Kluyveromyces lactis: one gene and its partners. The protein of the gene in region 1 interacts with the protein of each later gene in a pairwise test. Links are inferred from orthologs where the notes say so. Each region holds a gene or a part of one and is shown in the gene's direction. Other genes may lie near its edges.

What was found. The genes of interacting proteins can lie anywhere in the genome.
Region 2: the proteins of KLLA0_F17545g (region 1) and SHS1 interact in binary tests that used the Saccharomyces cerevisiae proteins (3 or more experiments, as listed by UniProt). The link is inferred for Kluyveromyces lactis from reciprocal best matches to the Saccharomyces cerevisiae genes EPO1 and SHS1.
Region 3: the proteins of KLLA0_F17545g (region 1) and BUD6 interact in a protein complementation assay, tested with the Saccharomyces cerevisiae proteins (3 studies listed by BioGRID). The link is inferred for Kluyveromyces lactis from reciprocal best matches to the Saccharomyces cerevisiae genes EPO1 and BUD6.

Annotation. Positions count from the first base shown.
Region 1 is NC_006042.1:1,608,250-1,617,133, reverse strand, and holds KLLA0_F17545g (uncharacterized protein), read left to right. Parts: upstream 1-4,514; coding exon 4,515-7,295; downstream 7,296-8,884. Other genes in the region: KLLA0_F17611g (uncharacterized protein), read left to right, coding at 505-936; NCW1 (Ncw1p), read left to right, coding at 2,375-2,911; PKR1 (Pkr1p), read left to right, coding at 3,413-3,793; STO1 (Sto1p), read left to right, coding at 8,111-8,884.
Region 2 is NC_006042.1:1,937,849-1,944,618, forward strand, and holds SHS1 (septin SHS1), read left to right. Parts: upstream 1-1,840; coding exon 1,841-3,496; downstream 3,497-6,770. Other genes in the region: GCR2 (Gcr2p), read right to left, coding at 1-988; KLLA0_F20834g (uncharacterized protein), read right to left, coding at 4,168-6,018. UniProt on the Saccharomyces cerevisiae protein: Septins are GTPases involved in cytokinesis that assemble early in the cell cycle as a patch at the incipient bud site and form a ring approximately 15 minutes before bud emergence, which transforms into an hour-glass shaped collar of cortical filaments that spans both sides of the mother-bud neck.
Region 3 is NC_006039.1:1,621,486-1,628,114, forward strand, and holds BUD6 (formin-mediated actin nucleation enhancer), read left to right. Parts: upstream 1-1,261; coding exon 1,262-3,355; downstream 3,356-6,629. Other genes in the region: MMS22 (Mms22p), read right to left, coding at 1-964; EST2 (telomerase reverse transcriptase), read right to left, coding at 3,380-5,965; TAD3 (Tad3p), read left to right, coding at 6,248-6,629.

The DNA of each region.
Region 1 (8,884 bases):
GATCAACCATGCATTAATCCGTAGTATAGGCAGGTCCGGATGATGTTACACACCCTGGATGATGAGGTCTGGCTCAGTTGGAACTTGTTCTGGCCTTTGCCTTCTTCTGTGTGTGTATGTGTGTGCTCTTGTTTCTTTTTCTTTAAAAATGAACCTTGAAACGGTGTTCGAATAGTGAGTATGTTTCACCGGTAAACCGTACATCACTGTTGGAGAAGAAAAGGAATAAAATTGATATAGCGTCAAGAATTTGAGTGATATCAACAGTCCTACAAATAGAAAGTTCGTAATCGACTCTTGTATATATTATACGTCTGGTAAGTGTTTTACATTTGACATTTTGGAATAAGTGTATAAAACTCAAAGAGATTGGAAGTATAGGTCTGAAATTCAACACGCAAGCCCAATCGAACGACACAGAGGCATCACAAAAATTGTCTCATTAGCATTATTTCAGCCATATCATAGCAATAAGAATAACATCAAAAATATCCAAATAACCTCATGTCCGTTACAAATATAATCAAGGTAGATGGTGAAGTACAGACCGCTAGTGTCAGCTACGCATTTTCCAACGGAGGAGATGTTTTAGGTGGAACATCTATCCTATCGTTGGATGTATCACAGATCATTAACGTTAGTGCATCCACGTTTGTTGTGTCTACACCTACAGTAGGGACAGCTCAAGAAAGTGGAATAGAAATTTCAGCGGGAACTGCCTCACTACTTCTTCCTTCTTCTCTAATAACAGATTCGTCGTCGCCTATCGCAGCAACAGGAGAAATAAACCAAAACACAACTACCCAAGAACCTACCGCTACCACTAATTCGTCTTCCACAGGGCTTTCTGCTACACAATCAGGAAATGCAGGCCATCACTGGAGACCAAGATTTGCCATGTCAGCACTACTGTTCGTTTCAAGTCTACTATTGTAATTGAACCTTCTTTGATAGGTTTTTCACTCGTTTACCCACTACTCATCCCTCCATTCTAATTCAATCGATCACTAGTGGTGAAAATAATGTAACTTAATGTAACTCAAAAGAACAACATATATACTATAATAATGATATGCATAATTTGAGACAATAGGTGATTCTCGCTCGTGAAAGAAAATTTCGAGAACTTCAAGAGTCCGCTGTCTTACCTGGCATCCTTAATTGGCGGTGCTAGTCCAATATCCCCCGATTAGCATAAAAGCTTGCTTCGATCTCAGATCCAATACTGATTTCTCATTATTAGTGTGAAACCGGACTTTGTATTACGTACCCTTTCCACTGTCATATTTCCAACTTCTATTTATGTCCTGTTCTAGTTCTAATTACACTAGCTCCAGTCTAATGGATCCTTCCTCCACTTTTTTATTTTCCTTTCTTACGTCTTCGGATGTCTTGAAATGCAATATTTTCGTATTTTAGGTTCCTTCTATTAGTAGAAGCTCTTTAAGGTTTTAAGGTTGCTTTCGATTTTAAGGTCATGTGAGAAAAGCACGTAAGATAATGAACGCTTGCTTGGCTTGGTTTAATTTTGTTTCGGGGCGGAGCTCCCCTGGATCGATTGGCCCAATCTAGTCCGTCCGTTCTCCTACTCTCGTGTCCTTTTTTTTTCCGGATCGTACTGCGATCCAGAGATTCCTTTCGTATTTGAATTTCCAGATTTGGCCAGATCGAGACTTAAGTAATCATTTGCTTTTAACTCTGGTGGTACTTACAGATCTAGCGATCTCATTCGGTTCATTGTCCCATAACCGGTGAAGCAAGCATGTAATTTAGAATCTCGAGACACATGCGGCAGCAATACGTGGAGAAGAGGCTAAACCGCTTGGTATCATTTTTTTTTTTTTTAATTTTGGCATTTCGTGCTTGAATAATGTCTGAGCTTCTTTAGGTTCAGCAGTTTGGGAATACATTCTAAACAAGAATTTGAAGAAATTACCTTTGTTTGAAACAGAGGCTGTTCTATATTTAGCTTTTATTATTCTTCTAGCTATTTTTGTGTTTTTTTGGCTAGTTGGCGATGCTTCGAACGTGTGTTGGTGAGAGAATCTTACTTCATAAGTCTTTCAATTCTTACCTATAGTAGTAAGTGAAATTCCAGATTCAGTATTTCTCGAAGCAAGGCAGTTCAGCATGCAATTTAAAGTTCAATACGCCTGGACTTGGTAATAAGCCATAAGCGATTACAGCTTCTTGTGATGCTGAATGAATCTAATATATAAAGGGAGCGTTTGTTATCTGGTAAGATCACAATTTCTCATCTAAACTCGGCTTATACGTATATTCATTATTATATGTTCTCTCTCCTAACAGCTGCAATATACAAGATCAATAGTTTCATTCACACTAGCCACCAAATTAATATAACAACACAATAATGTCTTTTGCCTCAATCTCTCTAGTACAAGCACAAGCCGTCGCTGCCTCCTCTGTTTCCTCATCTGCCTCCTCTGCTGTTGGCTTAGTTGGAAACGGTGGTTCCAGTACCATTGAAACGAGCTCTGGTGCTGAATCTACTGGTGTCGTTTCCTCTGTCTCTACTGGCTCTGACGCTTCCGGTGCCTCCGATGCTTCTGCTTCCGATGCTTCTGCTTCCGATGCTTCTGCTTCCGATGCCACTGGTGCTTCTGGCACTTCTAGTGCAACTGCCTCCGGTGAATCTGGTGCTTCTGATGCTTCTGGTACCTCTAGTGCTACTGGCTCTGGTGAAACTGGCTCCACATCTACAGGATTCATTACTTCCGATTCTTCTGCTTCTGCTACCGGTTCTTCTACTGCTGCAGTAACAGGTGATAACAGCACTGCCACTGACAATGCTGCTCCAGGTATGGTTGCTAACCCAATCAACTCTAAGTACAGTATCCTATTCGCTTTGATGATGGCTGGTTCTTTCATCTTCGGCGCTGGTATCTAATCGAACAGCGATGAAAAACACAGACTGTCACTTTATTTTCCCATCTTTTTCAATACAAATGTCATCATGTCCAACATGATCCTAGATCATACTTGACTATTCATCCATGCATCGGACACCCTAATCATCAGTTTCTCCAATAGTACTCTGATGTGGTCCCTTTTCTATTCCATTTTATCTTTAACTTCATTATTCCTCTGTTATCGGTCTGTAAATTATAAGTTTGACATACATAATCTGTATCTTAAAATCTCTATATTAAAGTTTTAAAAGTAAAATTCTTCTATACATATACATACGTTTGCCAGTGACATAACATAATACACCCGGCTCGATCAGAATAGGAAGTCGTCATTTCATACTTACAAGCTTGTTCACTTGCATTCTGGCTATACCTTGCTGATTTCTACTCCAGGCTCATCATCGATTTCTAGTACAGCATATTATAATCCTCCGTTGCCAACCACTATAAAAAACGAAATTCACCTGAGACACTCAAGAATGACTAACTTTGTTGTTGCACTGTGGGAAAGCATTTTCCAACCAGGAACATCGCCTCAATTGATCATTGCTACTCATATCTCGTTTGCACTATTGCTTTGCGTGTTGGGATCGCAGATCTATTTAACCAAAAATATCCATTTCATCGCATTAACGATTATCGCCACTCTACTATGGATCACCGTGACGTGGTTCATCTACGAATTACAAAACACAAAGCTTGTTACCAACGAAGATCTACAAACAGCTGAATCTAAAAAGACTGATAAGACTGAGCCTTCCAAGCCCTCTGAAGAGATAAATCTAGAGGGTGTTGCGAAACCTGATCCTAAACCATCATCTACACCTAAAAAAAGGAAAACAAAATCAAGAAGAGCTTAAGCTGGTGATAAACCATTCTCTCACCTGAGCAACTTTCTGATTAGACTACATTGGACAGTAAGTAAAATCATTTTTAAACGCAATAACCACTGCATAGACTTGTAACATTTGGGAACCATATAAAATTTAATTCAAATACAAAGGTTGCAGAAGCCATTATTTCGTCAGATTACTACGATCTATTATATACAACGTTGTGTAAAGGCACATCCTAAATAGCTGCCTTCCGTTTCCTTTTTCACTCTTCGTTATTGTTTCATGCATAATCCATACATTTCATGTTCGCTCGGAACTTCTATGGCATTCAGATTTCGTTTTGAGAAAAAAAAAAAAATATGAACGGAAAGTAAATGAATCTTAGGTCTGTTCAAACAATTTAGGAATCAGTTTGAGTTTTGGACTTAGTCACTATTAATAGGTTGTATTTCCTTTTATCTATTCTCTTTCTAGTACAGTCATTTAGCCTAGGTTCTGGCAGAATTTATAATCCAGAGGAACCAATCCACAGTACGAGTGTAATTGACTTATTCCCTACCGATTTTGGAACGCTTCTTTGGTACATCAGGACTTTTGATAACAACTTAGAGGTAAGTCCTTAGATTGTTTGTTTGTCATTGTTAAAGGAACTTTTCTATACGTAAGTGCAGCTCATTTTACAACTAGCCATCTTTTCGTTTCTTGTAGGTTGTGCTTTATTTCTAACCTTTTCTGATCGTGGAATATGGATGCCGGTGTTACTGCGCTTGATCAACGACGTGGAGCGGGCATGTCTTCCAAGGCCCAGCTGCGGAACCAGTTACTTCACAGCGATATAGGGAATATTGATATTACTAAGGAGCAGCAGATAAACAAGCAGAAGGGAAATACAGGCCCCATGGCCCCACCTGTAGTTCCGTTACAAGCCCAGCAGTACGAGTCCAATTACAACCCTTCGTCATATAATTACATGCAACAGCCTCGACAACAATCTCTGCAGATGCAACCAAGACCACATTTTGATTACCCAGGAGACAGTAGTAGGAAATCATCCATGAGTTCTTCTACTGCTTCCTTCTCTAATTTCTTCAAGGGTAAATACAAGAAACTCAATCAAAAGAGACACAGTCAATATGACGAAAAAGCTAATGAGGATGACGATAATACAGACTTTTCGGATCATGATTCCTCTTTCCTTACATTCAATGATATTTCTTCCATGAGAAACAATGGTGGGCACGCATACGGTTACGGTGGACATCTAGATGATACCTCTCCAATAATACCGACCATCGTGACTTCCGGAAACACAAACTCAATGAACAATATAGAATATAGAAAACTTATGATGAATCAAAAGAAAATGGCATTTAACAGTCTTGCGAAGCAGCAGCAGCAGCAAGCGCAGTTCAGTGCCTCAGTTCCAGGTGGTCCTAGAACAATGTCCTTGCAAAATTATCATCAACGTCCTATGGTAAGGCCTGGTGTTTCTGGCCCGGGAACAATGATGGGTCCAGCAGGCCCTCAGCAATCAAGAATCCCTAGGCCTCCAAACGGTAGCAGATTCAACTCTTTGATGGGAGGGGGGGCTTCGCCGATGGCTGGTAGACCAGGGTATCCTCCCCAACAAGGTCCTCCAAATGACCCACGCACAATGTCGTTAACTGCTGACAGACGTCCACCAACTCAAATGAACGGAAATTCACAGTTTAGAAACGGTTATCAAGGTCCGTATGCCGCGTCACCAACAGGATCCCGTAACATGGGTTTTCCTGGTCAAGTTAATGGACCAGTGCCGGCAAGAGGTCCACCTGTTACTGGTAGCTCCCAATATGGTCCAAACTCTGGTCCAAGAGCCATGTCCCTGCAAACTCAATCGTATCCGCAACCATTTTATCAACCAAAACAAAATGTATCGCAGGATAATGTATTCAATGAAAGACAAGCAACAAGCTCATTAGCCCCTCCGCCACAACCACAGCAGCTGGTGAATAAGGCGGCATCGGGCTCATCCTCTTCATATGCCAGTGTGAATAGCGTCATTTCTGGTAGGGTTTCTGAACAAAGTTCTCCGACAACTCCCTCGAACGCATCATTCGATGAACAAAATCAGATACCATCACTGCCAAGATCACCGGTGAAATACCAACTACATGCCACTTTGTCGAATGATAATGAGGACTTTGAAAAAGACAAGGCTCTTCCTAGCTTTAACGAGGAAGAAGAAGATCAACAAACCTACAGCGGGAATAAGGATCATTCACATAGCGATGAGCAATATGATTCTGATTCATTGGTGAAATTGAATATATTAACGTTAAGTGAACCCGCAAGACAAGTGTTGCAGATCGAGGAGGAAAAAACGGAAAAGGAATACGACCTAGTGGATTCCTCGGAAACGAAAAGCAACCAGCAAGATTCTTTGAATGATGACATAAATCTCAGGCCATCCACCGCCTTGATACAAAATATTCCCGTGGATCTATCACCAATATTAAATCCTGAAATCTCGGACAACTCTTCCAGTCGAAACTTTGGCGACAACGTCAATAGAACTGAATCAATTGTATCAAAAGCCCATGCGGCGGTCGACAGTGGGAATAGTAATACTAACGAAGTACTACAATCAAAACATGATTCCTATATCGCATGTTCTGGTGAAAAAGGCTTGAAGAAATCAGGCAGCAGTTTCCAGAAAGCGAAGAACTTTTTGATGAAGATCAAAAGGACGAAGAGTGGCGATCAAAGACCGCTCACTACTGTACCTTCGTCCGCTAGAAGCAGCAGGAGTTCGATGGCAGTAGATGAAGGATCCGAAATCCAGTTAAATGATACTTTCAGGGCGAAATCGGGTGCATCCAGCGATAAACGTAGAATATCATATCATTCTCTTTTTTCCGCGTCATCTGCTGGTAATCACCACGACCAATATAGTAATAAGGAAAAGACATTTGACAGATCAACTTTGCAAATTCGTAAGTCGATGATTATTGGTGAAAGCACAGAGATACAGGAAGTGCCTTGTCTTGAGAAAGAATATGTAAAACAGAAGGCTGAACCTATTTCCGCGTTGCCATATAAGCCATCTTTTGCTTCTGAAAAGGATCCCAAACAACCCCTGTTGATCACTGAAGAGTATTTGAATATTTTGAAACAAAATATGATGTTGATGCAAGAGCTACAATTGGTTTCCACGGAATTAGCCGAGTCTATCGCAAGGGAAGGTAGATTAGAAAGTGAATTAGAATCAAAGAATCCGAAGGAACCAGAGTCACCTCAGGCTCTTTCTCTACTGGATTTCGAAACGGAATTAAGGAAAAAATCGTCAAAGATTGTTGAGTTGATTCAAAATTTGAACGAAGAAAGGCTCAAACGTTTCATTGCAGAAGAACAGAATTTATTATACCAACATGGTATAAAGCCATCTCCTAACGAACTCGCCCTTCAAATAAATGAGCTGAAGACGCAACTGCAGTCCAAAGATCTACTGATAGAACAGTTGCAGAAGCAAGTACATGATTCTTGAAGCAAAATGAAAAGAATCCATGTATGGTTCGTTCCGATTTTGAAGGTCTCGTTATTTCTGCGATTTCTTTTCCAGTCAAGCATATACCTATATAATTTGGGAAATATACATATATATGTTAAAAAACGTTGAAAACACATTGTTATCTAATTATGGTAATCTACAGGCTGTGAAACCCTGACATTCGTAAGCTTTAACAATTTCAACTATGTACCTGTTGGCCTAAGTATCGAATGGCATTGATTGTCTGGTCGTCTCCATAACAAGAATTCAAAATGAAAATTGAAAAAAAATTAAAATATATGAAAACACGAATTCATAACGTTACAATCAAGATTTTGCCAACTGATATCAGTATTATATCCAACAATACGCCATCAAGTACCCGAGAGATGTCAAAAAGAGGTTTTGGTATGTTTAATTTATGTCACCATTCAAGACGTTAGAGTTTTGCATTGTTTTTTGAAGGTTCTATCCATCTCTGACGTATTGTTATATCAGATTTAAGTTTTCCCTTAGTACAACTGACAGCGACGTCAGCAAAGAGAGACAGATGACAGACGGTTCCAAGATTGCCACAAAACACACATCTAGACTAGAGAGACATCCCATCGACAATCGGTATAAATACTTCAAGTTTTCGGTATGATTTACTCTGAATAATATCGAAGAAGTTTCGTTAAAAGTAGTCGGTTGGTTGACACTTTGGTTTAGAACTCAGAGAGAAAGCAATAGTATCAGATATATATCTGAGACTTACATTAACGTTTTCCAAGGAAAAGCATATAATTACTAACAACTGTTTCTGAAACACAATGATTCTTGTAGATTATGAAGAAGAGAGTGGTTATCGTGAAGCGAGGCCACATTTTGCCAAAAGGCAAAGGCTGCCACCCGTTGTCATGCTTTGTAAGGACATGATGCCTGATATCAGGACCATGGGTGAATCGGCCAAGGCTTTTCCAGAAGATATCAAGTTCCTAAGTGAGGCCATTGTTCATGAATTCGGTAATGACGAGTATTTCAACAACGCACTTTTGAAAACTTTCAGAGCAGTTATCTTGGAACAACCTCATAAGCAACCAGGTATTGCTCTTTTAACCATGGTGCTAAATTCAGCTAAACCAGAAATTGGTAAAAGTATTTTGAATTATTTCTTTGACCAAATTCAAGAGTTACTTAATTCAAGTCATGACCCCGACTACCAAACCAAATCTCATGATATTGGACCATGGGATAAAATTAAGTTAGTACTCAGATTTATCTCCATTCTATCGCCAATGGTGGTACCAGATGATTTGCTTGACTTGTACAAGAAATTATTGCAGTTTACCGTCGATTTAAACAATTCCACGGAGAAAAGATCCCCACTTTCTGAAGCCATCTATACCAACACCTTGTTGAACGTTCCATATTTGTTCTACTTCAACTCGGATAATCGTGAATCGTTAAAAACTTTAGTTGAGGAGTTACTCACTTTTGTCGAAAACGAATATAACATTAAAGATACTGATATTCAATTGCTCAAAGCATACAATAAGAACCCACCATATGAACCAGTTCATTGGGTTACTGCTGTCTTGCCAAAT
Region 2 (6,770 bases), about 330 kb from region 1:
ACCAAATGATCTCTTTTCGTTGTTCCTCTAAATCGTTCTTTAGATCTGTTATATGACGGTCTTTTTCTTGCAACAGTTTTTCGTACGTCCTTATAGTAACCTCAGTTAGAGATGATGTCTTTTCTTGGTCACTGACTGGTGGTGTATTTTGTAGTTGCAAGACATCTCCCACGACGTCGGAATCTTTTCTAGTGATATATTTCCGTACTCGCTTTCTCGCAGGTTGCTCTTCCTCATTGATCTGTTCCATAGCTTTCCCATTGGTACTCTCGGTCATTGCTCTGGGCCAATCAAACTGGCTATTGGGACTTTGGTTGGCATTTGCCTGGACGTTAGAATAGTAATCCTGATCTTGTACTCTACTCACTTGTTCCAGTTTATTATCCACCTGTGATAATGAAAAGTCCGGTGAAGTGATTGTATTTACAACCGATTTACGTCTGGGGGCAAGCACGGGCGATTCCCTAGCAGACGCAGTGGTACTTTTCCCTGGCCTCCTCAACGGTGTTATTAACCCCGTTGTCTTGTCGTAGACTTTGTCGATGTTGAAAGATAATACCTGCCATAGAGGATCGTCCACGTTATCCCGTATCTTCCAGTTGTTCTCATCCAACTTCAAAAAATACCGATTGTACGGGCTCACGTCATAACTTAGCAATATCTCTTTCAATATCTGTTGAAATCGCTGAAACAATTCGATATTTGATTTGGGTACGTTCGATTGTTCATCTAAGGGTACGATTGTCACTAGAGCATCGTAAAGTTGTGAGAGACTTTGGAAATATTGCATATGACGTTCGTCCAAGGGTTTCAGCGATATAGGAGATTGCTGATTCGGACTAATCGTGGAATTCAATAGCTCGGGAAGCTCCAAGACTTCTCCGTTGGATATCAATTGGTAACCCTTGATCAAAAATACGTCGAGCTTGATCTGATGATGCATGATGCCTGTCGGACTACTATGTGAAGTGCTCCCGATATCAGACATGGCTCTTCCAGTATGTGTACGTAGCAGGGGAGGGCCGATCTTTGAAGTCCGTAACAAGCAGTTCAAAGACCTTAAGTATGCTGCCGCTTCCGCAGATTTTCTCGCTTACTGTGTATTTCTTTCTCTCTTTCTCTCTATCTTTCGTTTCGTTAAGGTGCAACATTTCCACATTGCATCACCTTATGTTCTAGCAAGAACTAAAAGCGACAAAATTGCAAAACAAAGACGCATCTCATTGAACACATAGAGCCCTTCTGCAAGGGCTAAAATCCGAAGCCTTTCATATGTAGACCAAGGCAGTACCAAAGCTAGCCGGACCTAGATCGAAGATCGTTATCAACTTATAACGTAATCCACTGACGGACATATACATTCACATCACTGAGACAGAAATATAAGTCACGTGAAGAAGTGGCGCCATATATATGTATATATGCCTTAGTTCCCCAATACATAGACTAGTTACGATATGTGGTTCATCGAACTGTAACCATTTGATGTTCCCATGTCACTGGTAACTTTTGTCCTTGCCTTAGGTATCTTTGAGTGTCTCATTTCCCATGGCTATGTTCGAGCCTTTTAATCGGTGAAAAGTTTCGAAACGGTTAATATCACGTAAAAGATATCAATTCCATATTTAAATTTAGACGAGAATGTAATTTGACTGAAACAACAACGTCTTTTGATAAAAAAAGTGTATTCTATACGTTGCAGAGCTACATTAATCAAGTGAACCATTGAACGAGACGAGTTTCAATCAATTGGATAGGAATCATTGTACTTTGGCGATTCTATTTAGAATATAATTGGAAGTGAAAAGTGAAGCCGTTTGATCTTGGAAGCAATAAAAAGATGTCCGCTAGTCCTGTATCTCAGGTATTCTCACCAAGCAACAATGGGGTCAGTGTGTTCCGTAGAAAGAAGGAGAAGAGAGGTATTACTTTCTCGATGATGTTGGTTGGTGCTTCTGGTACTGGTAAGACCACTTTCGCTAACAATTTATTGGAATCTACCATTTTCCCTCATAGATATCAACAAGATGTTCCAGCTAGCACGAATAACGAGAATGTTAAGATTATCCAACCAACTAAGGTTGTCACGTTCAATTCGATGAACGGTATTCCCAGCTACATGTCGGCATTTGATCCAGCCTCGCCGTTTTTGGAACCAGGTATCACTGTGACGTCTACTGCCCTGGAGATCACGACGAAATCTAGTGAGGATATCGATAGCGCTACCCCTGAAAAGATCAATTTCTTTCTCACCGACACCCTGGGACTGGGTGAAAACTTAAATAATGGGATCTGTTTCGATGAGATTGCTTCATATTTGGAGCAACAATTTGATTCGGTACTCGCTGAGGAGACCAGAATCAAGAGAAATCCAAGGTTCCAGGATACAAGAGTTCATGTCGCGTTATACTTTATTGAACCCACGGGACATGGGTTACGTGAATTGGATGTTGAAATTATGAAGAGACTATCCCGCTACACAAATGTTCTACCAATTGTCGCTAGAGCAGATTCGTTCACACCTGATGAATTGACTAGGTTCAAGAAGAGAATTATGGAAGACATTGATAGATTTAACGTTCCTATCTACAAATTCGAAGTTGACGAAAATGAGGATGATCTAGAAACAATTGAAGAGAACAAGGCATTAGCGAGACTTCAGCCGTTTGCTATTATCTGCGCCGACCAACGCGATAATGCTACCGGTAAATACTATCGTGAGTATCCATGGGGTAAAATTGACATCGATAATGAAAACATTTCGGACTTGAAATTGTTGAAAAGGGTTCTCTTCGGGTCCCATTTGCAAGAGTTTAAGGACACGACACAAAATCTGTTGTATGAAAACTACCGTGCTGAGAAATTGGCGTCTGTGCCAGCCTGGGACATTGAAAACAACGAAGTTATAGATACTTCTATCAATGACGAAAACAATGAGGGTAATTCTTCAGGGTTGATGAAAGGGTTGACTAGAAACAGTACAGCTCCATCCTTGTCAAATTTCGCCTCTCTAATAAATACAGGAAAGTTTAAGTCTCAACAATCACTTGCAATTCCACCTCAATCTGAAACCCCATCTACACCACGTCTAACCGGGGTAGATGAAGGAGATGAGTCTCGCGCTTCAATCTCTGCCAGTTCACAGAAATCTACTCCTGCCAATATTCAAACTTCTCCAGAAAGAACAAAGTTACGGAATATTTCCGAAAATATCCCATACATGCTTCAGCACGAGCGCATAGTAGCAAGGAAACAAAAGCTTGAAGAATTGGAGGCACAATCTGCCAAAGAGTTACAAAAGAGAATTCAAGAACTTGAAAGAAAGGCTATTGAATTGAAGATGAAGGAAAAGCTACTAAGACAAAACTCACATAGTCAATCTCAAGAATCTATCCAGACTAATACAACTAAACAAAATTCAACTTCTGGAGGTGCTTACATTAAGAAAGAGGAAACCTATAACGATTTAGCTTCGATAATCAGCAAAAAAGAATGAATTCAGTCTTGATATCTTTCTTTGGCATTTTTGTAAGTCGAAGTGTTTGGTTCCTGAAACGATTTCATATGTAATTTAAACAATATTGATTATTTTGTATATTGCAAACGGTCACGTCTAGATTGATCTGCTACCTGTTTCCAAATTTGATGAGTTTAAGATGGTGATGTAAAAATCAGAAAAATATACGTACTGTTACAGGTATATATATATATATAATATAATAATGAGTTAAGGTATTTTCGTGCCACTTATCAATAAATGGAATTTATCTGTTCAGATGACATAGTATTATGAGATAAAAAAGATTGGTGAAAAATTTATGTTCATCCAGTGCTTCAAGATAAAAAATAGCTAGTGTAACTGGAGAGAACTAAGAAAACCGAAAAATGCAAAATAATGTTCCCGATGGCAATTAAAAACATCAAGAAACAACATTCATTCAGCGACGATGAGAAAAGGCACTGGGGGAAATAATAGGAAAAGAGATTTAACCGAATTGAAAAATGGTTGCAAAATAACATTAAAGAGTTGGAAACAAGACATAATTGATCAATAAAGACTTCAAGTGCGAACATAAGTCATTTTAACAACGCAAAAAAGGGTTATGACGACGTAAATATGAAGTGTAAGAAAAAGGCAATGGGAAGATGATCTTTTTATAATATTTTTCATTTGGAGAATGCATTTTCGTAGGAGTAATTGGTAGTAGATGACTTTAGATCATTAGTGACTCCATTTGCAAGAGTGGCAATGCTACTATTGTTACTACCAGTGCTTCCATTATTATTGTTGCTTGAACTTGGATTGCCGCTGATAGTTTTACCATTTTGAGCATTATTTGAGTTGCTAGTTGGTTGGCCAGAACCACTGCTTCCACTCCTTCTGCTGTTTGGACCACGAACACCAAGTGGGTTTTTAGAGAAACTCAATCTAATTCCACCTTTGGTGTTGTGTGCGCCAACTGGTCTTGGTAATTGACTACCATATAATTCGGCTAGAGCTCTTGTAGCATGTGCGACGTCTTCAAACTCAACAAAGCACATAGGACCATGCCCACTGTTATTGTTGTTCTTGTTTCTGAATGATAACCTCTTGAATCCTTTTTGACCTCCAAATAGTTGTCGTAGTTCTTGTTCGGTGGCATCTGGAGGTAGGTTACCCACATAAAGTGTATTGCAAGGTGGATTTTGATCGGCTGGATTGGCTGGAGGAGGAACTCTTGCTAACAACGATAAGTCCACCTGAGAAATTCCAGGAGTATTCTGTAAAACACTTGCCACACTTCTGGTGATAGGTTGTGACTGAGTAGAGTTGTTAGCGTTAACATTAGTTGCAGATGAAGAATTACTAATGTTGGTTCTGCTGCCAGATTTATGAGGAGTATGCGACGTTGATGAAGTTGGTGTTACAGGTTTAGAAGACACAGAAGCTGAGGACCTACCGTTCATCTGTTGGGCGACACCGACCTGTGAAGATGGATCAGAGTTTGGCGGTAAATTTGTCGCACTTGAATTGGCCTGTTGAGGGCCAGAGAAAACGGAACTGCTTTGCTTTCTAGCAGCACCATTCTTGGATGCAGACCAATCTACAACTGCATTTTGTTGTTGTTGATTGTACGTGGTATTTACCATGTTGTTCACAGTAGAGAGTGAAGGGTTTGATCCCCAAATTGTGTCATTAATGCCATCTCCTTCCATTAACAAGAATGATTTACCAGCATCGATGTTTTGCAGTGGAGTTTGAGCAGACGTTTGTGCAGGTGGAATATGTGGATTTTCTGCGCTGAAGGGATCAGAAAATGAGAATCTAGACCGTTGTCCTAGCAGACTGGGCCTTTTCCGACTTGATGATTGGGGAGGCGATGTCAACGTTGGAGCAACGTTTGAGGATACGCTTCCGGATGATGGTATTTGAAATGAGTTTGTGTTCAGTTGTGGCTGCAACTGAGGTGAGTTTGTCTGGAAAAACAGCTGTTGATTAGTTAATTCGTCGATGACCTCCACCGCCACCTTGAATGGATATGCTGGACCGAATATTTGGGATTTGATATTAAGAATAGAGGCATATTGGCATGCCAAATGCTGAGATTCAAATTTTGCCACCACGTACGGTTGGTTATCTTCATGAGGTATCACATCAATGGATAGTACACCATGAGCCAATGAGAAAAGGGCATAAGCCTCCCTCAAGTTTATGTCGGTAGGAATATTGCGCAATATCAATAGATAACTACCAATGGATGGGGTTTGTGGTTGATTTCCAGTGTTAATGGATAATGTGTTCAGTACCGATGAGAGGTTTAGTGGTGAACCACTGTGGTCCGAGTGGTGGCGAGGTATTGTCGAACCATTTGCATGTGTTGGCGATGCGTTGCTGGGATTAACTGCTGATAACTGTTCAGAGCTAGTACTGAATCCACGATGCAGCTGATAAGTTGTATCGAAGGAAGGATGGATCATCATGGGGTTTTCGTTGATGTTATTGGAGTTTGGATTTGAGTTGATATTGCTTATTGGCATATGAATGATGGCCTCGTCGTAAGAATGATCAATGTGTGGAAATGTGCACTAAAGTAACACTAATGCCAAAAAAAGACGATAAATGAGATGAAGAGCGAAGATTCACTTTTTGTCAAACGCTCAAGAAACTCAATTAAATAGCAGAACAGAATAATCACCAAAGAAAACAATGTTTTGCTTTCGACAAAATGCTGAATAATTGTTGAACTGTGTGGTGTCTCTCTATCGACTGGAGTTCTTCTCTAAGGTTAGAATATTGGTGGATGAGTTCACTGTTTTTTTAACCAATCACAAAAGGATGGGAAGCAGAAAATAGAAGAATAAACTGCTATTCTCCAGGTACGTGAACGAGTGAAGTACGCAACTCCTATCTCACTGTTACAAAATACAATTGATAATGTTCTGAAACAGGACTGTACTCCTATGATTCACAAGAAGAATGAGACTTTTTTCCTTCTTTTCCCTCTTCTCTTTTGTTTCTTGAAAGTTTTATGTAACCCTTTTGTTCTTTAGGAAGTAATTAATTTTTTTTTATCAAAAAAAAAATTCCTTTAAAAGATATCGATCGAGATGGGTTATTTCCAAGAAAATAGTATGTTTCCAAAAACCAAAAAAAACAAAGATGAATTTTAAGAAAAGGAAACGAAATGATAAAATAGGTATAACAAAGAAAACAGAAATGAAATCTTACGCTCAATGAGTTTTTTGGACTTAGGCCTCTAGAATTGATTGATCTTGGTCAATTAATGGCC
Region 3 (6,629 bases), on another chromosome or scaffold:
ATGGTGGATTTGAATCTGAATCTGAATCTGGTTCTGGCTCATATTTCTGTAGAAAATATTCCTCTAGTTTTGAGTCTTCCATTGAATCTTGCTCATTCTGTAGCCGTAGATATGTTTCCGGGAATCCAACTTCAATTTCAGCATCCGATTCTATTAATTCGTTTACAAGGTTGTCGTCTCTGGAATTAAACGTTCTACGAGATATTTTTCTCTTGGCTAAACCTTTACTCCGTGAATTTTCATCGTAGTGGTTATTTTTATTTCTTCCTTGTCTATTACTTTCAACTGTATTGTTATCAAGTGCTTTCTTCCACGCCATTTTGGGTAATACACCTTTGTATCCTGTTCTGATATTGACTTGCCTTCCTCTAAAAACAACGTTATCATCATAGGATAAACTGGATCTATCAAACTGATTCGAGTCACTTTCCGAATGACACTCGTCACGAATTTCATCGCTGTCTAGTTCAGCATTACCATATACCTCATCATCATCATCATCATCTGAAATATGGAAATGGTGATGCCTTCGAAGCCTTGTTGACGCAATAGTCGAGTGTTCTTGCTGTGAAAGGCCGCCCTTCACAGGACTCGAATTGAGCACGCCCCCATTGTCCGTATTAACAGTAATATCTTGCCGGGAACCACTCGGCAGATTGATATGATCTGCTAGAGATTCGAAATTAGATACATCGTACCCTTGCAATAACTGCCGATGCCGTATTCTATCCAAACTATACGGCATCTTCTGGATTGCTTTACGCTTTCTCAATGCACGTCTTATACTATTAGAGTAAACTCCAATATCAGGAGGTGTCTGTGCTACGTTATCGAGACTGCCCGGAATGACGCGTACCTGGTATTCGTCATCGAAGATTGGAAATACATTTGGTTCCGAATGCAGAGGTATTACGATCTCTTCATCACTAGCCTCCGAATTGGGGACTACAGAGTCCTGATTCATCCCACAGAAACCACGCTATATGTCATACGCGGTAACACGTCTCTGTTGGTTGCTTAGCTTCTGAAATGGTAAGTTTCCATACTTTCCTGTTTCATTATCTCGGCCTAACTTCAGGAAATTACGTTTCTTGATATTTATCAACAAAAGATTTATGCAAACCAAATCAAACCTAAAGCTTTTTGATCTAGTAATGCTTTGAAGAAACATACCGTTTAAAAAGTGTACGTTGGATTTCCTAGCTAGTAGTTAGGTGTGTGGAAGCAGTAGGGTGAGGTACGTAAGGTGTGTCTGATAAAGATGGAAACACCACCACCAATTTCTAAATCAGCATCATCTGTGGAAACTAGTGTGACGAAACTATTGATTTCAACTAAACAACTATTACAAATTCTGACGCAATGGTCCAAGGGCAAAGTTACCGAGCGTAATGTTTCCGATGTGTATGTTCAATTGGGTAATGATTTCAAGTTAGTCAGTAGACATTTTACCCATGCTAGAATTGATATTTCGGATCTTGGCGATGTGCCAAAAGACCTTCGAAGAATATTGGAGGTGGCATTGAGAGAGACTGCATCTGAGGAAACGTTGAATAAATACCTACCGCAGATCAGAGATATTATAGTTAAACTCTTGGAGAAACTTAAGGTTAAACAGGCGATGATAAAACTGAGCAGGAATGAAGATGCTTTGAAATATCAGCATACTCCTCAAAGATCTTCCGTTTCATCCGTAGTCAGCGCAACGACATCTTTGGCTGGCGCGGGACCGACATCTACTTCAGCTCATATTGAAACAAAACAGATACCTACGTTAGAAGTTCCCAAGGGTTCTGAAAGCGATGCGTTAACTCAATTGAAAAAGGGAAATAATCTGCAAAGAAGAGCCTCGAAGAGGTTTTCAGCGTATCATATGGCGAAATTAGCCAACCAAACAGCTTCAGATCCATCGAATTCCCCAACGTCTAAAAATTTAGCAGTTCCAGCCGCTGCTGCAGCGGCAGCAGCGGCCAATGTTTCTGATACAGAAAGCATTAAAATGGAAAGACAGCCTTCTCGAATCTCTTCTGCTTCATCCGTAGATTATCATCCCATGACAGGAGCACCAGAACCAAAAGGTGATAACTCAAGCATAGATGAAATTGTTGTCTTTTTGAAGATCGGTGAGAAGGTGAAACGATGTGTAACTAGTTCTCACCTCTCTTTCAACAAGCTTAGACTTTTATTTGTTGAGAAATTTGCATATTCCCCAGGAGGTGATGTATTCCCTGACATATATGTGAAGGAACCCAAATACGAGGCATTTTACGAACTTGAAGAGAGTCACCTACATGGTATAATAGATGGGAGCGTATTCCAATTACAGGTACAATCATCGTCTCTAGATGAACAGTTCCGCCAACTTCAAGATGGTTTATTAGAAAAGCAAGATACAATTTTTCAAAATTTGAAAGAGATTATCCAAAATAGTACTCACGTATCGTCACCAGATTATTCAAGTGGTCCAAAATCCTCAGATTCTGCAACAGTTATACATGAGGATCATCGTAAAGAAGTTGCTCATATTAGGCACGAAATTACCGTTTTAAAACAGATACATAGCGACCAAAAGAGATCGCTTCAAAATACTATAAACGCTATCGTGGAAAAACTACAGAAATTCCAGAGCCTTTCAATAACTACAGGAAAGTCAGCTAATCGCGATTATATGGAAAAGTCCCAGTCGAAGTTATCCGAAGTTTCTGATAATCTTTTGAGTAAAGTTGACGATCTTCAAGATGTCATTGAGGCATTACGTAAAGATGTGGCCATTAGAGGTGCGAGAACACCCAAGAAGAAGATTGAAAATGTATCGTCTGAATTAGACTCCGCTAAGAAGGATTTGGATCAAATGAGAAATTATATAGATGTCGAAAAGCCAAATTGGAAAACTATTTGGGAAGCGGAATTAGATAGGGTGTGTGAAGAGCAACAGTTCATGACATTGCAAGAAGATCTCGTATTTGATTTACAAGAAGACTTGAATAAGGTTATGGAGACATTTGATTTGGTTAAATTGTGCTGCGAACAACAGGAAAAGGCCCCAAAGAAGAATAAGGGAAACCCCATTCTTCCGATAGCCAAGCCAGGCACATATAATATGATCCGCGATCAAGTCTTGACTGAAGTTCAGAATCTCAACCCAGATCATGACAGTAGAGTGGAAGCCATTAAAAAGGCAGAAAAACTAAGAAACAGAGAGAAAGAGTACAAGGAAAATGAAGCCTTTGAAGATGAGTTGGGCAATTTCGTTGAGAAAGGTAACTTCAAAAAGGCCGGTGGCATTGAGGAGATAGAACGCCTAAGAAAACAAAAAGACGAAGAAAATCTGCGTGTTAATTTTGGTCTGATATAGGTACAATAATTTTAAGTAATAGCATTAAAACTCTATTAATAGTTTCAAATCGCTGACATTTGTCAAAATGTCTGCAAATGCGTTCTTCCTTAATTTTAATTGTTCAAGGAAAACTGACAACACCAGTTCTTTTGACGCGACGGACTTTTCCATCGAGAACATATTAGCTGAAGAGAGGTTAAGATCAATTCGCTGAAAAATGTTGAAAACAAATTGTTTGAAAGATCTTCTGCTGCTTTTCTTCCTATTAAAAAGGACAATGAACGATTGAATTACATTTAACGCAACTTCTCTCAGGAACCTTGCAGCCGTTTCCCAAGAATTTAAGCGCTCGTCCAGCATATTATAAGATAGTCTCATCTCAAAGATCCAGAGTAATTTATTATACAGTTGCTTAGATGATCCCAAAACTGTTCCTAGGACATTATACGATGAGCGGTCTTTCCAAACTTCTAGGGTTCTTAGATTTAACTGCAGTGCACAAAAAGGTACATTTGTTGATGTTTCAGATTCTGATGAAGTAACCAAGACTTTTTGTGGGTTTATATAAGTATTGAAAGATTTGAATCCTGTTTGAGCCAGATTATTAAGCCGCTCGATGTATTTCTTGGAAGTTGAAACTATTAGAAAATCATCCACCAGCCGTATTATCATCGGATCTGAATCATTTTCATCAGTAAACTCGGTGTAGAATTCAAGTAGGTCGTCATACAATATATCAACAAGAACGGAAGATAAGGGAGTTCCTTGAAAGAGTCCATCTTTTCTTAAGTAACACTTGCCTCTGTAAAAGATACTGGTTTTGAAGAGTTCCATTTTAACTACTGTTAAAACGTCTTCTTTTGATAAGACAGTAGTTTTGACTGAATCAATTACTAAATCATTTTCCTGGAATTGTATGTCTCCATTTACAGCATGAAGCCTTTTCAGACGAGTGGAAGCAGTTGTCAGTATATCTTGAGATCTAATAAAAAACTGCTGCTCTTCACATATCCGAGCCTCTACCAATTTCATTACTTTCTGAACCGGAATTGAATCATAGCAGGATTGAATGTCAAACTTTAAAAGATAGAGATTCGGTATTTTACCATGTTTTAAAAGTAGCCTTTGCTTATAACTTAATACAATCTTGGGTATTTCCAAAGGAGAGAATGCTTTTGTAAACTTGGTATTTCGTCTCATCCTCAATCTTTCCAGTATAATCTTGGTGGGCTTCAGAGCGTTCGTAACGTAATCATTAAACTCGTTAAACTCTTGTATATTGACTCCTTTACACGGCACCGCTATTATTCTGAAATCGAGGCCTGATTTTTTTGGTATTAAACGAAGATTTCTGTGATTGAACTTGGATTCTGTGAAAGATCTGTGCTGGAAACAATATTTATTCTCAAGCAAATACCTCCTAAAGTAAGATTTCAAAAAAGGTTGTGACATGGTTTTCCAAGTATCATGACGAATATAAACTATATCGACAGTCGACGATAGTTCTGTCACATAGAAAAATGTAGATAGTAATTTTGGGACGTAACAGGAAAGGATCCAAAAAAACAGTTTATAAAGAAGCGCTTGTCGATTTTTCACATCATAATATGGAATCTTTTGAGTTTGTTCACCAGCTGGAAGCCGCCTTGTTTCTAGCCATTTGACATCTTTCACACGCAATCCTTTACATAATTCATCAAATAGTATCTTTGAATGGAGCGGTTTTTTGACAAGTATTGCAATCGCTTTTGATAGAACGCTATAGTTTGAATTTGATCCTAACAGGTCCAATGGGAACGTTTTTCTAACACATACAATGAGCAGTTTGATGACACTTTTGGGTGATGAATAGAAAGTATCTGATTTGGGGCATATATTATTGATGATGTGTCTATATGAAAACCTCTCGTGAGCTCGAATGAGCTCATATAAAATGGGTTTTAGATTATTCAATGCAAAGTTTAGAGAACGAGGTGTCTTACTGCTCTCTGATATTTTCGGAAAAATCTCAGCTATTAACAGCCCCTGATCAGTCTCAATGATATTCTTGTAATCTTGCGGTCTTATCTTATGATATAGAGCAGAGTTCCAATCTATCGTTAGCTTAGTATTTCTTTCCCTCCTATACGACCGATCTAGCCATGCAGGTGGCACCTGAGGCGCGTTAGCGGGGGTTCCAATTATCTGCCTGAAGTAATGGCCGGTGTTGAAATATACGGAATAGTTGATTAACAAATTCACAAAATTGTCAGTGCCAACCAGCTGATGGAACAATCTCCAGCTATTACATTTCAATACACTTACGCTTATGTTCGATGAACGGCAAAACAGTTTGGTCATGACATCTGAATTCTTTCCCAGCTGGTAACCATAAGTCAGTATATTATTCGTAAAATTCTTGTGCAAAAGGTAGAGAATGCATGTTTCTATAGTTTCACAGTGATACGATGAGCTGAAAGTAGAAGATATTTCAATTTCAGGAGGTACGCAATGTTTGCTGTTAACTTGTGCGAAACAGCTGAGTAACAGATTGGATACCCCATTAGAGTCAGCATTGATCAGAATATCCGATTTTCTGAGGGTTTCATAGCACTCTAAAGATTCCAAATATTCGACAAGAATTTTCATCTAAACCAATTGATATAGGTCATTATTCGAAGTCACCTTAGTCATCTCGATGATCAATTTAAGGTTCTTATTAATTATTCTCAGTGTTCATCTTTCTTACGAGCATGATCTAAACTGGTAAATAGTGTTTCGTAGCCTATAATTTCTGGATATGAATTTTTCAATGATAGAAATGTAAGATGCGATGCGATGAGATGATATACTAATATGTAAAGGGTAAAGGAAATGGATGCTTAATTATAGCTCTAGATTTACTAGTTATTCACATGAAAAGCTAACAGTATGGTTAAGAAACATCTGAACCCCACTAAGATCGATTTTATAAAATGCATCGTCGAAGATTGCCTCTGGCAAATTCGAGATACCAAAAACGTTGATGTGCCTGATCTAGTTGAGGCTTGGTCTATCGAAGTACGTCCAAGGGAAAGTAAGTCAGTGATACCATTCGTACGAGGTATTCAGGATAATGACCCCGTTTCATTCCTTCATGTGAAACGGATCAAGAAGCTTGATAGCGACACACTACGAGTACTTATCGGCTCCAAAGAGTACATACCGGATAGATCAACTTTTGACAATATGCTGAAAGGAGTCGTTTTCCAGTATGACAATGTGAAAGACGATAACAAAGTACCGAAGGTCGGTCCATCGACTAAAAGCTTAA